Ovis aries: one gene and its partner. The protein of the gene in region 1 purifies or fractionates together with the protein of each later gene. This does not show direct contact. Links are inferred from orthologs where the notes say so. Each region holds a gene or a part of one and is shown on either strand. Other genes may lie near its edges.

Region 1 (7,217 bases):
TTCTGTTAGGTCCATACCATTTCTGTCCTTTATCGAGCCCATCTTTGCTTGAAATGTTCCCTTGGTATCTCTAATTTTCTTGCAGAGATCTCTAGTCTTTCCCATTCTGTTGTTTTCCTCTATTTCTTTGCATTGATTGCTGAAGAGGTTTTCTTATCTCTTCTTGCTATTCTTTGGAACTCTGCATTCAGATGCTTATATCTTTCCTTTTCTCCTTTGCTTTTTGCTTCTCTTCTTTTCACAGCTATTTGCAAGGCCTCCCCAGACAGCCATTTTGCTTTTTTGCATTTCTTTCCCATGGGGATGGTCTTGATCCCTGTCTCCTGTACAATGTTACGAGCCTCAGTCCATAGTTCATCAGTCACTCTGTCTATTAGATCTAATCCCATGAATCTATTTCTTACTTCCACTGTATAATCATAAGGGATTTGATTTAGGTCATACCTGAATGGTCTAGCAGTTTTCCCTACTTTCTTCAATTTGAGTCTGAATTTGGCAATAAGGAGTTCATGACCTGAGCCACAGTCAGATCCCAGTCTTGCTTTTGCTGACTGTATAGAGCTTCTCCATCTTTGGCTGCAGAGAATATAATCAGTCTGATTTCGGTGTTGACCATCTGGTGATGTCCATGTATAGAGTCTTCTCTTGTGTTGTTGGAAGAGGGTCTTTGCTATGACCAGTGCGTTCTGTTGGCAAAACTCTATTAGTCTTTGCCCTGCTTCATTCTGCATTCCAAGGCCAAATTTGCCTGTTACTCCAGGTGTTTCTTGACTTCCTATTTTTGCATTCCAGTCCCCTATAATGAAAAGGACATCTTTTTTGGGTGTTAGTTCTAAGAGGTCTTGTAGGTTTTCATAGAACCGTTCAACTTCAGCTTCTTCAGCGTTACTGGTTGGGGCATACACTTGGATTACCGTGATATTTAATGGTTTGCCTTGGAAACGAACAGAGATCATTCTGTCATTTTTGAGATTGCATCCGAGTACTGCATTTCGGACTCTTTTGTTGACCATGATGGCTACTCCATTTCTTCTGAGGGATTCCTGCCCGCAGTAGTAGATATAATGGTCATCTGGGTTAAATTCACCCATTCCCGTCCATTTTAGTTCGCTGATTCCTAGAATGTCGACGTTCACCATTGCCATCTCGTTTGACCACTTCCAATTTGCCTCAATTCATGGACCTGACATTCCAGGTTCCTATGCAATATTGCTCTTTATAGCATCAGACCTTGCTTCTATCAGCAGTCACATCCACAACTGGGTATTGTTTTTGCTTTGGCTCCTTCCCTTCATTCTTTCTGGAGTAATTTCTCCACTGATCTCCAGTAGCATATTGGGCACCTACCTACCTGGGGAGTTCCTCTTTCAGTATCCTATCATTTTGCCTTTTCGTACTGTTCATGGGGTTCTCAAGGCAAGAATACTGAAGTGGTCTGCCATTCCCTTCTCCCCGGGGACCACATTCTGTCAGCCCTCTCCACCATGCCCGCCCGTTTTGGGTGGCCCCACACGGCATGGCTTAGTTTCACTGAGTTAGACAAGCTGTGGTTCTAGTGTGATGAGATTGGCTTATTGTCTGCGATTGTGGTTTCAGTCTGCCATCTGATGCCCTCTTGCAACACCTACCATCTTACTGGGGTTTCTCTTACCTTGGACGAGGGGTATCTCCTTACGGCCGCCCCCTCCTGACCTTGCATGTGGAGTAGCTCCTCTCGGCCCCTGCGCAGCCACCACTCCTTGGACATGGGGTTGCTCCTCGTAGAGAAGCCTTTCCTCCAGGCTCCATGGACATGGTCTTTTCAGGTTTCAGCAGAAGGTCTGTGCCATCAGCAGGGTGTCCCCGTGGATTCTGCATCTCCCCACACGGTGTGGCCTCCAGCGTCCAGATGTAGCTCACAGCTTTTGAGTAGCTGCTCTCTGCCAGGCCTCGCAGGATCTTGCTGCACATGTGGCGCTTGCTCTTGGCTAGAGATGCTCGGGGTGGGGGGTGTCTGTGGGGAGAGGGTCGAGCTCCTGCTCCCCCCCCCCCGCCTCTGCCCTGCCCGCTCGGGCTCCCGTGTGACCCTCTTGGGCCTCAGGCTGCAGCATGGCCCCGTAACCGCTCAGCTCCTCCTGCCTGTGTGCCAGGCAGCGCCCTGTTGCTCTTTTGAAGACAGCTTTTTTCCTGGCTGACACGTTTGGAGTCTCTCTTCAGCCGTCTCTCCACGTGCGGGGTTTCTCCACGTGCGGGCTCTGTCCAGCCCCGCGCCCTTGCGCCTCTGGCTCGTGGATGAGTCGCACGCTCGGTGCATCTTTTCTCCGTCTCCTTTCTGCAGCCTTCATCCTTGTCTTCACGTGTCCCCTTCTGCAGAACCTTTTACTTCACTGGTTCCCCCCCGCAGGAGATGCAGCGACTGGAGACTGAGCTGGGCCGACCCCCCGAGCGCTGGAAGGACGCCTGGGATCGGGTGAAGGCGGCCCAGCGCCTCGAGGGCCGGCCAGACGGACGTGTGAGCGGGGCGGGTGTGAGCGGGGCGGGTGTGAGCGGGGCGGGTGTGGGGGGCGGGTGGGCAGGCCTGCAGCCAGGAGGCGGGGAGGCCCCCCTGACCCGGGCCCCTTCCTGCCTGCAGGGCACCCCCGGCTCCCTGCTGGTGTCCAGCGTGCCCCACCACCGCCGCTCGCTGGGTGTGTACCTGCAGGAGGGCCCTGTGGGCTCCACGCTGAGCCTCAGCCTGGACAGTGACCAGAGCAGCGGCTCTTCCGTGTCCAGCTCGCGGCAGGCAGCCCGCCGCAGCACCAGCACCCTCTACAGCCAGTTCCAGACGGCGGAGAGTGAGAACAGGTCTGCGGCCGCCCCCGAACAGGCGCGGCGGGCTTCAGGGGGCGCCTTCGGGGGGCTCGCAGGGATTTCTCAGGACTTATTGGTGGGGGAGGCCCTGCCGGTGGCCTCCACGTGAGCTGACCAGGGCTGGGAAGAAGCAGGTGGGCTCAGCCTTTGGGACACGGAGCTGGTGACCTCAGCCAGAGAGGGAAGGGACGGCTGCGGTTGGCATGGGCCCCGCGGGCTGCACCCCCTTTCTGGGCCCAGGCGCCGCTGGCCGCAGTCACCGGAAACCTGCCCGGTTGTTGGGGCCTGCTGTCCGTGGGATGTTGTTGCCCTGAGGCCCTGGCAAGGCCCTCACGAGCCCGTCGGGGCCCAGGGCTCCGGGCTGAGGCTGGCTTGGGGGCGAGTGCCTGGGCTTTGCTGCTGGCCCTGGCAGGGGTGCAGAGGGCACCAGGGCCAGGCCCTGAAGTGGTCTGGCCGGTCCTGCTGCCGACACAGGTCCTACGAGGGCACCCTGTACAAGAAAGGTGCCTTCATGAAGCCCTGGAAGGCCCGCTGGTTTGTGCTGGACAAGACGAAGCACCAGGTGAGTGCTGGGCGCCCCGCTGGGGTGGGGCTTCGAGGGCCCCGCCCTGACTCCTGCCCCCCCACCGCAGCTGCGCTACTACGACCACCGTGCTGACACGGAGTGCAAGGGTGTCATCGACCTGGCCGAGGTGGAGGCTGTGGCACCAGGCACGCCCGCCATGGGCGCCCCCAAGACCGTGGATGAGAAGGCTTTCTTTGACGTGAGCTGCGGTGGGAGTGGGGTGGGGCAGCTGCCCCCGGGAGGGCCGAGGGTCAGCGTCCTGTGTCCGCAGGTGAAGACGACGCGTCGCGTTTACAACTTCTGTGCCCAGGACGTGCCGTCGGCCCAGCAGTGGGTGGACCAGATCCAGAGCTGCCTGTCGGACGCCTGAGCGTGGCCCTGCCCCGCAGCCCTGCGTCCAGTTACCGACCACTAGGGGTGGGCAGGGCCCCCCGGCCATGTTTACAGCCCCCACCCTTGACAGTATTGAGGCCCTCCCCCTGCGTGTACAGCCCCCCGCCCCGCCCCGCCCCGCCCCGCCCCGCCAGCTCCAGCTCCAGCTCCCTGGAGGCCTGGCTGAGTGCCCGCCGGGAGCAGCACGGTACAGCCCTCGCGGTGGGCCTGTAAATAGTCCCCCCCGCCCGTCTGTGTGCTGGCCCTGGCCGGCCGGCCCCAGGCGCCCTCTTCCTAGAACGAGAGTCTATAAAGAGCTAACGACACCGCGTGCCTGCGTCTGTTCCACCTGCTTTCCCCACCCCCCCACCCTGAGCCCGGGCCGCATCATGGGGGGCATTGTCAGGGCCTTGTTTGGGGTCTGCTCCCCACCAGGCCTCAGGCAACCCTGGGGCTGGTACAGAGCAGCGACCCCCCAGGAAGCTGCCCTGCATCCAGAGGGCTGGGGGGTGGCAAGGACGGTGCAGCTCCGTGGTCCCTGGCCAGATGAGAGTACCCGGGCCAGGGGGACGCCAGGAGGGTGGGTGTTCGAGAAGGCAGGGGTGCTCGGGCAGACGCAGGGTGGCGGGGCATGGTGCCCTGACGGCATCTGTGCTGGGAACTCTATCCAAATGCCTGTCTCTTACTCCCGTGAGTCCTGCCATCTGGCCCTGACCATCCCCACTGCCCTATTCTGGGCTGTAATGGGGGTCACCTGGACTGGGTCTCACTTGCAATGGGTGCCAACCAGTGGCAGGGCGGCAGCAGGTGGGAGGTGGGGTGTGGCACTGCAGAGGCCAGGGGCCCCCGAGAGGTCCTGGGTGGAGAGCACAGCACAGTGGGGCACCCACTGTGGGAGGGGGGCTCCCGGCCCGGAGACAGCCGTCGGGCTGAGGCCCTGCCCAGCGCTCAACTCCAGGCGGAGCTGCTCTTGGCACTGACTCAGACGGGCCTGGGGCAGTGGAGGGCCTGCCGCTGAACACCACGCGAGACACAAGGTCTGTAGGTGAGAGTGACAACCTTTATTGGAGGCGAGGGTCTGAGTGCCGTCAGATCGTCAGGTCATGTGAGCTGACCCTGCAGACCACCCCCCTGCCCCCCGGACAGCTCGGTGCCCCCCAGCACTGCTGGGGGCGCCCCGCCCCGCCCACGGCCCACACCGCCAGCGCGCACTGTGGGAGGCCCAGGACACCCCGCCAGGCTGCAGGAGCTTGGGTTTTAAGGCAGTCATTTGCAGCCTGGCACGGCCCGCTCCCAGCTCTGGGCAGCTAGGGACCCGGTCTGGCCCGCCCTGCTCCAGCCCCGCATCTGGACCCAGAGCCTTGGAGACCCTCTCCTGCGCCAGATAAAAAGTGCAAACACGTGGCTCTTCCTGCATCTGCTAAGAAAAAACTGGTAAAAAACAGGCAGGGAGTCTGTGGGGTCTGGCCTGGCCCTCGGGCCTCTGGGGTTGCAGCCCCGGGCTCCCACAGGCAGAGCCACGGCCAAGGCCTTATTGCTGTGTGCGGGGCTGGACCCCCGTGGCCACCCGGTCGGGGTCAGGCAGGAGAAATGCAGGCGGGGCTGTCTGGCTAGTTCCAAGTGCCAGCTTTACCAATGCAGCATTTATTTTAAAATTAAATTAAATTAAATTAAAAAGAGACTGCATCACCAGGTGCTTTTCTGGGCTGGGTGCCAAGACTGCGCAGCAGCGGCGTCACACGGGGCCACTGAGGGCGGCTCCGGAGGGTGGTGGCCCGCCAGCCTGTCTGCGGGGTGGGGGGGTCGCTCAGGGCTGGGCTCCCTGGCCCGGGGTCCCGCAGCCCCTCCCCTGGCCTGACCGGCTCACCTGTCTCTTGGCACTGTCCCCAAGGCGGCTGCCATGGACACGGCTGGGCTGGCGGGGGCTGCGGTGGTGACGGCCACCATAGGCCCGGGGGGGACAGCCACGGCCAGCACAGGGGAGACGGCCTGGGGCGCAGGGCCCGTCATGGTGGCCTCAGCGGAGGCAGTGGGCGCCTCGGCAGGGTCCAGGGGCACCGGGCCGGGCGGTGAGCTGGGGGCACAGTCAGCCCTGTGCAGCAGAAGGGTTCTGGTTACCCGGGCCCCTGTTTTGCCGCCCCAAGTTCCAAACACTCCAGAGACCCCCCCACCCCACCCCTGCACAGCCCGCCAGGCAGCCGCCTCCTGCCAGGAGCGCTCACCCGGAACGGCCCGCCCCTGCGCCCCCCGCAGGCCCCCACCTGCTCTGGAATGACCCTCAGATGCCCCCACAGCCCACACCCTTCTGTGGACCATGTGGCCCAGGGCCATTCCCTAGACAGCCACAGGCCACATCTGCCCAGAATGTGCCCACCCACCCCTGGAGACAGGGAGCGCAGGAGGGTGGCCTGGGGCCCAGGAGCACCCACAGCACCCAGCGGCCGCACCCGCTCCCAACTACAGGGCATCACCCACTGCCTCGCGAGGACTCCGGGGAGGCAGCAAGGGTGGGGGGGAGCCTACAGGCAAGCCTGGCTCGTTACCCACAATGGCCCAAAGTGCACCCCCCAAACCAAAGGACTTGCTCTCAGAACATCGCCGGGTGGGTTTCGGGGGAAACGGGGGTCAGGAAGGGAAGAAGCTGAGCTGCAGGTCTCCCTGAGCGGCTCGGTGAGAACCAGCCCCTCCTGACGGGTGCCTGCTCCCTCCTGGTTGTGCCCACGGGTGAGCCCAGCACTGGTGGGATCAACGTCCCCTGGGTCCCGGGAGCTAGTGTGTGCTGAGGCAGAGCTGGGCCCCCATGGACAGGCTGAGCCTAGAACCTAGAGGGAGGATCTGAGGGGGCGGGGGAGCCAGGAGCAGCCCCGTCCTCCCTGCCCGCCTGGCGCCCCTCACGCCGACTCAGCTCTGCTTCTCTCCCGGCCCAGAGCCCTGCCGCCCACGTCCCGTCTCAGCACACAGCTCCTGCCACCTGCCCAGCCCGGAGCATCTGTCCACAGAGGGTCCCACAGGCCGTAGGCCTGTCCTGCACACGGAGTGGTTGCAGGGCTGAGCTCACAGGGAGAGCACCTCTGTCAGGGCCTGGGCCGAAGCAGAGCCCCAGACACCCTCGTCCTACTGGTCCAGTGAGACAGACATGTGTGTGAGGCACCCGGCGATGGTTGTGACTCTGGACTGAGCACCCACCCCCAGGACGGCAGCAGCTCCAGAGCTTCCCCCCATCCCCCGGGACCCCCGAAGCCTGGCCATCCCCTCCAGTGAGGCCTGGGGTGGGCTGGCCCCTCGCTACCTCAGTGACCACCAGTGGCTTCCCCTTAGAGGAAGGGGTGTCCCTCCTATCCAGAGCTGGCCTCTGAGAAGTCACAGGGCCGTCAGGACGAGAGGGAGCACAGGTCCAGGCCTCTGCACACCCCCGGGAGCCCCCTGCCGCCCGCCCCGCCTACTCACCTGG
Region 2 (7,397 bases), on another chromosome or scaffold:
AAAAAGGAGGATGAGACGGTTGGATGGCAACACCATCTCAGTGGACATGAGTTTGAGCAAGCTCTGGGAGATGCTGAAGCACAGGGAAGTCTGGCATGCTGCAGTCCATGGGGTCGCAAAGAATCGGACATGACTGAGTAGCTGAACGACAACATGAGATGGTAAGGGCTGTCCCCACCATCCCGATACCTGAAATTCCTCATGGAAGGGCCAGGACTCTGACTGCCACAGGCCTGCCAGCAGGACTGCACTGTCAGCAAGTCATATGGGGAAAATAGAAAGGACTCCACTCAGAGCCTTTCCATTGGAAAGAGGGCATTGGAGGCTGGGCCGCACAGCCCCGCCCTGTCAGCTGGTGGGATTGCATAGAGCTGGGTGCCTTGTTTCATACAGCTGACTCCGTTGGTACAGAGCTTCAGGCCAGATATGAATTGGTCAAGTAGTCAAAGGCTAAAGGGACTTCCATGGGCCTCACAATCCTTTCACTAAAATGCTTACTAGATTCTCTGGGTGATCATTCTCTTTCTTGGTCTTCACTTTCTGGGTCAGCAGACAGGATTGTGGAGGGGCAATGAGAAGACCAGGCTCATGAGGGCTGGAGATCTAGGAGGCCCGCTGTGGACTGCTCCACAGGAGTCCACCTTCATGGGGCTATCTGAATGGCATGATGCTTTACAAACAGTTGACAGGAAGAGCTTCTGCAGTACCTTGTTTGTGTCGGCGACGCTGTTTTGCCGGGCATCAAAGATGATGAGTTTGTGAGCCTGTGCATTAGCATCCATTATTGTTTGCAAGTACTTCTCATCTTCCTTGCAGCGCTTATCATTGGGACCCACAAGCGGCTGGCTGCAACGGGTAATTGTTGCCTGGCTTTCTGGATGAATCCATGACAACACCTAGTGTTTGAAAGCAACAAGTATTAGTACGGTCCTAAACCAATATGTGCTCTAATGTACCTGTGTGTATGCTCAGTTTCTCAGTCATGTCTGACTCTTTGCAACCCCATGAACTTAGCCCTCCAGGCTCCTCTGTCCATGCAGTTCTCCAGGCAAGAATATTAGAGTGAGTTGCCATTTTCTTCTCTAGGGGATCTTCCCAACCTAGGGATCAAACCCAGGTCTCCTGGGTCTCCTGCATTGGCAGGCAGATTCTTCAGCACTGAGCCACCAAGTTCTTAAGCACACCTGCTTTTTTTTTTTGTATTTTTGTCAAAAGGGACGGTTCAGCCTGAAGACAGTGTGAAAGTAGCCATAAGACTCAATGTTTGGATCAGGCTGAAAGGAGTCTGACTAAGTGAGCTCTAAAAAATCTCCTTTGCCTTTAAAATTCTAGGATTCTAAGAAAAACAGAAACTAAATCAAACCATGACTAACACCAAGCCCATTTCTATTTGATCAACTGATTTTGTCTTCTCATTTAAAAACACCTTTGAATCTCAACTGTGACTCAGATGGTAAACAATCCGCCTGCAATGCAAGAGACCTGGCTTTGATCCCTGAGTTGGGAAGATCCCCTGGAGAAGGGCATGGCAACCCACTCCAGTATTCTTGCCTGGAGAATCCAATGGACAGAGGAGCCTGGTGGGGTATAGTCCATGGGGTCACAAAGAGTCAGACACGATTGGGCAATTAACACTTGGATGTCAACAATGGCGTACATGGCCAGATGAGGACAAAGTAAACAGTCTCTTGTAAAATCTAAAGCTATATCCCCAAACCTACCATTTTCCCCCAGTGTCCAAGACACTTGGGGTCAACCAGATGGCACATGCAGGGCTCAAGACATGCACTCCCTCCCTAACTGTGGTTCCCTCTCTAATATGTATCCCCAGTGTACACATATATCCAAACTCACCAAACTGGATCCACTAAACATGTGCAGGGTTTTTTGTATACCAACAAATCGTTTAAAATACTTCATCCCCTGTTGGCTACTATTTCTTTCTGCAATGGTGGCCCTCCCAGTACAGGTATAGCCTTCCCCTCAGTATCTAAGAAAGAATGTATTTTCTCCAGGATGATTCAGTGACACCAGTGACACAAACTGTCAGCACACTAGCAAGCTTAGCCCTCTGCTATCTATACCATGTTTTGAAAGCATGACTGAAGTTACCCTGGTACTTAGTAACATGAACTCATGGCAGGTGGGATCATAGCAAGCAGACAAAATGCTTATATAATTAGATAGTTATTGAGAATCAAAGATATGTTCAGGTTTATAGACTTATTTTTCTACTTTCCATTTTCTTCATGAGATTTCTTCTAACTTGCTTTTCCCCATATTAGACCAAATACAGTATATGTTCATATCTAAATAACATTATTATTACTTACCGGGATTCTACCTTTTGCTCGAAATGCTGCTACTTTTGAAAGATCATCATCTTTTACACTAGTTGGCACAACAATGATGGCAGGGTAGGTGTCACAGAGCTCATAATTACTGTTTACTTTGGATATTTTCCAACTTTCATTTGGCAAGCCCTGCAAGGTGTCAGAGGAAAGTTGGTGGTGTGTGTGGGGACCATACTTTTATACTTTCAAAAAGTACTAAGCATGAACCACATCCAATTATTTTCTAGTAAAACCCATTTGTAATTCATTGTTCATTACTGCTTAAAAGATTAAATATAATTTATTTTATATAAGCCATTGCCTACCTAATTCATTTTTTAAAAAAATCTAATGAAGCATAATTTCCAAACATACTAAAACATGCAAATTATATACTTGAATTCCAGTCCTATGTATTTCTTATCATGTTTTTTATAACAAGTGAGCATAGTGTTGTTCTTTAAAAATACCCACGGAAGTCCTTTAGAGAAACAGAAACTTCTTTAAAATGTCTAAAGGAATATAAAGTCACCGTACCAAATATAAGGTGTGGACCAAGAGTAAATGTCATGAAAATAACGTCTCATTGGAATATCTTCAAACTAACAATGCACTAAAGAACTTCTAGGTAGAGAAACGCCATCAGACTGACATAGCCATGTCTTATACTCATAATCTAATTTAAGCCATTGCTTTATCCTTACTAATCAACTTAGTATCAGAATACCTAATAAAAACCATCTGGTTGGTTTCTTTGTAACCCTTCCCCTCGTCCTGGTACTTCATTTGCCCTCTGAAAAAAGGAAGAACAAACAGCGGCACAGCTGAAGGTACGGTGCAAGGAGAAGGGGCATCCAGAGCTGAAGAACCAGCAGACTAGGTGAGTTACACCCATGGACAACTTTTTGCAAAAGGTTTCTTCTCCACTACATTTCTACCATTTTAGGAAAAAGATGCTCAACCTATTATTTTCCAGTTGATAAGCATCACACTTTACCTGTCTTTTATATTCAGATACTGGATCATAAACTTTCCATCCATTCACTGGAAATTTTTCTTTATAGTTGAAGGCAAAGAGTGTCTGGATACAAAAGCACAAAATAGACATGTCAGCATCTTTGCACTGTCACATGCACACTACTAAAGCTTTTCATTCAGTTATGAGCTGAATGTATTGAGTCCTACTTTAATCTATAACATTTTGTAAAACAACAAATTTGAAGTTTTCTTCATCATTACACAGAACTGACACAGTTTAAGTACTCAATGTTAGTTACCAACAGAGGGAAAAGAGATAAAGGAAACCTCTGGAAGAAAGAATAACTAACCATGACATTTTTAGACTGCCACGAAGGCATTCAGACCCGCACAAAAAGAAGGTTATTTCCATGTACTTACCTGCCCATTGGAAAGAGGAAATGCATGTTTGTTGAGGTTTTCAAATATCCCTAGTTTACTCTGTTCTTCCTGTTTATAAGCAAGTCGCAAGTTCCTCATATCCTGTTAAACAATTAGCAAACCTCATTGATTAAACATGTATTGAGTACCTATGAGGTAGACCTCATGGTATGAAGAGACAAAATATTTTTATTCATTTCTCACAAAATGTAATTGGCCCTCCATATCTGCATGCTCCATACCCACAAATTCACCCAAGCATGGATCAAAAACATTGGGGAAAAAAGTTCCAAAACACACAACTTGTCAAGCAACTATTTACATAGCACTGACATAGCACTAGGTATTTAAAATGATGTAGAGATGATCTAAAGTACACAGGAGGATGTGCAGAGACTGTATACAAATATGATGCCATTTTACATTTGGGCATTCATGTCTCCAGATGTTGGTATTTGCTGGCGAGGGGGTGTCCTGTAACTAGTCTCTGGTGGACACCAAGTGGTGACTGGACTCCATTTTACTCCAACTAACAAAAGGCAATTCACAAAACACCTCCAACAAGATAATAAATTGAGGAAAATGGAACAAAGGGGAGGTGTTAGGGGGGAAAATTCATCAGATGGAACCAGGAGTAAGGTTAGTACATAAAAGTGGTACATCAAATGGTGTGCCCTTCTGTGCTAAAGGTGTGCCATAAAATCAGTTCTGGCTTAAGCTGCTCAAAGAATCAATTATGGAATTCACACCATCCATCAAATAGAAATCCAACAGAGGTTTCTCCTCTGAACTCGGAGCAAGGATTCTATGTCATGTAGAGACAGTGGCTCTCAGTGACTTCCTTACAGAAATTACAATGTTGCTTCTCAAGATAAGTATCTGAAAGCCCCCTGCTGCACAAGCTGTCAGCCTGAAGCCCAAGTGGAAGTTGTCAGGAGCAAGGCTGACAAGGTGGTTCAAAGGGTGCAATGTCTTCCCAGGACTGGCTTGAGCACTACACCCTGACCTTTCTAAGCCTACGCTCTTTGTTAAAACAGGAATCTCATTCTTTAATCTTACATGGAATTCAAAAATAAATATGACCACAAACAAATTAAAGCAAAAGCAATTGGGGAAGTGAGGAAGGTATTGCTGTGGTATTATTTATAACAGTGAAAGAATGGAAATAACCTAAATGCCTATCAATAAATAAGGGCTGGCTCAATGAACTACAGTACTACTGATGGCATACTACAGAGCTAATGAAAACAAGAAGTGGCTCATTAGGTACTGCTAGCAAGGAATTCCAAGATAATAGTTGAGGGTGGTAAGAAAGGTACAGAACAATGAATGTAACACACGACCATTCACATTTTCAGACACAGGCTTGTATGCAGAGGCCATCTATGGAAACTGGTGCCAGTGGGTGCCTGCACAGAGTGGATCAGAGTGGCTGGAGAGAAACTTACTTTTTGCTACACACAGTTTTTGTACTTTTTGAATTGTATATCACCTGTTTAAGCATGGTCCTGGTAATTCTACACTGAAGAACATTTTAAAACTGCTTTTCACAAAGACTCACCTTGGCCACACACACACACACACAAATATCATAGGAAAGCAACCACAGGACACCTGCCTAAGTGATGTAACTTCCTGCTATGCCCTCCCGCCAAGCTACTCTGGCTACACACATGCTCCTCAGTTGCTGACTGAGCTGACTTGCTATATAGGATTGCTCAGTTCAGAAAGAGAAGGCAATGGCACCCCACTCCAGTACTCTTGCCTGGAAAATCCCATGGACAGAGGAGCCTGGTAGGCTGCAGTCCATGGGGTCGCGAAGAGTTGGACATGACTGAGCGACTTCACTTTCACTTTTCACTTTCATGCATTGGAGAAGGAAATGGCAACCCACTCCAGTGTTCTTGCCTGGAGAATCCCAGGGACGGGGGAGCCTGGTGGGCTGCTGTCTATGGGATCACACAGAGTCAGACATGACTGAAGCGACTTAGCAGCAGCAGCAGCTCAGAGGCAAAGGCATTGCCAGCAAAGACAGAGCATGTGTGAAGCCCCAGGAGTCTGAGTGTGGCAAGGGTTGGCGGGGTCCAAGGCAGGTGGGAGCAACTATAGGAATGGGATGGCAAGAACAAGGGGAGGTGGGCTGGAGTGGGAGCCGCCAAGGAAAGCAAGCCCGCTCACACCATGGGGTCTCCGTGTTTTCCCTCTAGCCCAAGGGCAGCTACTGAAGAGTTCTGAGTAGGTAAATGACCTGTTCCACAATTACAGAATTGACTCACCCACCCCACCCTTGGCTTTAAGTTCTGCAGAGGATTCCCACTGCTCTGCCTGTGGAGAATCCTGGAGAATCAGGACTGCCACCATGGACCCGAGGGGAGGACAGCCACATGTTGCTCGAGAGATGCTAGGAAGCCAGCAGATTTCCGACCCGGCACAGTAAAGGCTTATTTGAAAACGTGAGTTCAACTGCAGTCTAGGGCCAACCAGCAAGAGCCTCACTCAGAGATATGATGGAGGCAGATAGACTGGCAGGAATCTAATCCAAACCCCAAACTGGGAAGGGACCTGGATGGTGCTGCAGACAGGATCTCTTGCCTGGTATTTTAGGTGAGGTTGTTAGTGAACTGTATTCCACAAGGCAAAGTCATTGGAATTGAAGTAAGGTGTTTCTTAAATGACTTTGTTGTTGTTCAGTTGCTCAGTTGTGTCCTACTCTTTGCAACCCCATGGACTGCAGCTTGCCAGGCTTCTCTGTCCTCCATTGCTCAGAGTTGGCTCAAATTCATGTTCATCTTTCATTAGTCCTCATCAAAGCTGTCACACAAATTTTACTTAATCCATTGGAGGAAAGGGACAAAATCAAAATTAAGCATGGCTCAGGTGCAAATTCCAACAAGAAACTCAACTGTGTTTTTAATCACAGAATTTATGAATATTGTTGTCCCTTTAGGGATTCCTGGGTAGCTCAGTAGTAAAGAATCCACCTTCCAATGAAGGAGACACAGGAGATGTGGGTTTGGTCCCTGGGTCAGGAAGATCCCCTGGAGGAGGAATTGGCAACCCATTCCAGTATTCTTGCCTCGGAAAATCCCATGGACAGAGGAACCTGGCGGGATACAGTCCATGGGGTTGCAAAGAGTAGGACACGACTGAGCAACTGAGCACGCACATGCCCACTGTCCCTTTAGGAAGTCTCTGACTAAAAACTAGTATTATAATGACAAACTGCCAAAAAAATACTGATCTCTGCTTTCCACTTGATTTCTCTGAAATGTAACAAATCATGTCACCACCTAGGTTACAGGTCCATGTTAATTGGAACACTTCAACAGAAAAGAAGCAGTTTACTTCAACAGCTTATATAATGGTCTGAATTGGCTGATGAAAGGTTGAAGAGGTTTGTGTCCCGAAGACATCTGAGTGACTAACGTCCAAATTATTCTTACTATCCAAGAGTCCAAGGATGTTCCAGCTGGCTGCCCCATCTCAGTTTCTCTCTGTTTGCACCGTACCTTGCACACGATCTCTATGCCACAAGAGTTGTCTCCATGGCTTTGTGCTCCAATCTTTTCAACTCTGCTGATCACTCCCAGGGGGACATCGAGGACGAAATGTGGGTCCTGGGTTCACAGATGAACATGAATGCCAATCAGTGTCAGTCAACAGAGT

The links.
Region 2: the proteins of SBF1 (region 1) and MTMR1 purify together in Homo sapiens (affinity purification with mass spectrometry; 4 studies listed by BioGRID and IntAct, with this or other methods). This does not show direct contact. The link is inferred for Ovis aries from reciprocal best matches to the Homo sapiens genes SBF1 and MTMR1.

The regions. Positions count from the first base shown.
Region 1 is NC_056056.1:225,675,106-225,682,322, reverse strand, and holds the end of SBF1 (myotubularin-related protein 5), read left to right. Parts: intron 1-2,383; coding exon 2,384-2,491; intron 2,492-2,611; coding exon 2,612-2,823; intron 2,824-3,303; coding exon 3,304-3,391; intron 3,392-3,461; coding exon 3,462-3,593; intron 3,594-3,665; coding exon 3,666-3,764; 3' UTR 3,765-4,097; downstream 4,098-7,217. Other genes in the region: PPP6R2 (serine/threonine-protein phosphatase 6 regulatory subunit 2), read right to left, coding at 5,502-5,553, 5,634-5,858, 7,214-7,217. UniProt on the Homo sapiens protein: Acts as an adapter for the phosphatase MTMR2 to regulate MTMR2 catalytic activity and subcellular location. Promotes the exchange of GDP to GTP, converting inactive GDP-bound Rab proteins into their active GTP-bound form.
Region 2 is NC_056080.1:84,823,737-84,831,133, forward strand, and holds part of MTMR1 (myotubularin-related protein 1), read right to left. Parts: intron 7,349-7,397; coding exon 7,241-7,348; intron 3,834-7,240; coding exon 3,732-3,833; intron 3,415-3,731; coding exon 3,331-3,414; intron 2,484-3,330; coding exon 2,334-2,483; intron 897-2,333; coding exon 708-896; intron 1-707. UniProt on the Homo sapiens protein: Lipid phosphatase that specifically dephosphorylates the D-3 position of phosphatidylinositol 3-phosphate, generating phosphatidylinositol. Could also dephosphorylate phosphatidylinositol 3,5-bisphosphate to produce phosphatidylinositol 5-phosphate.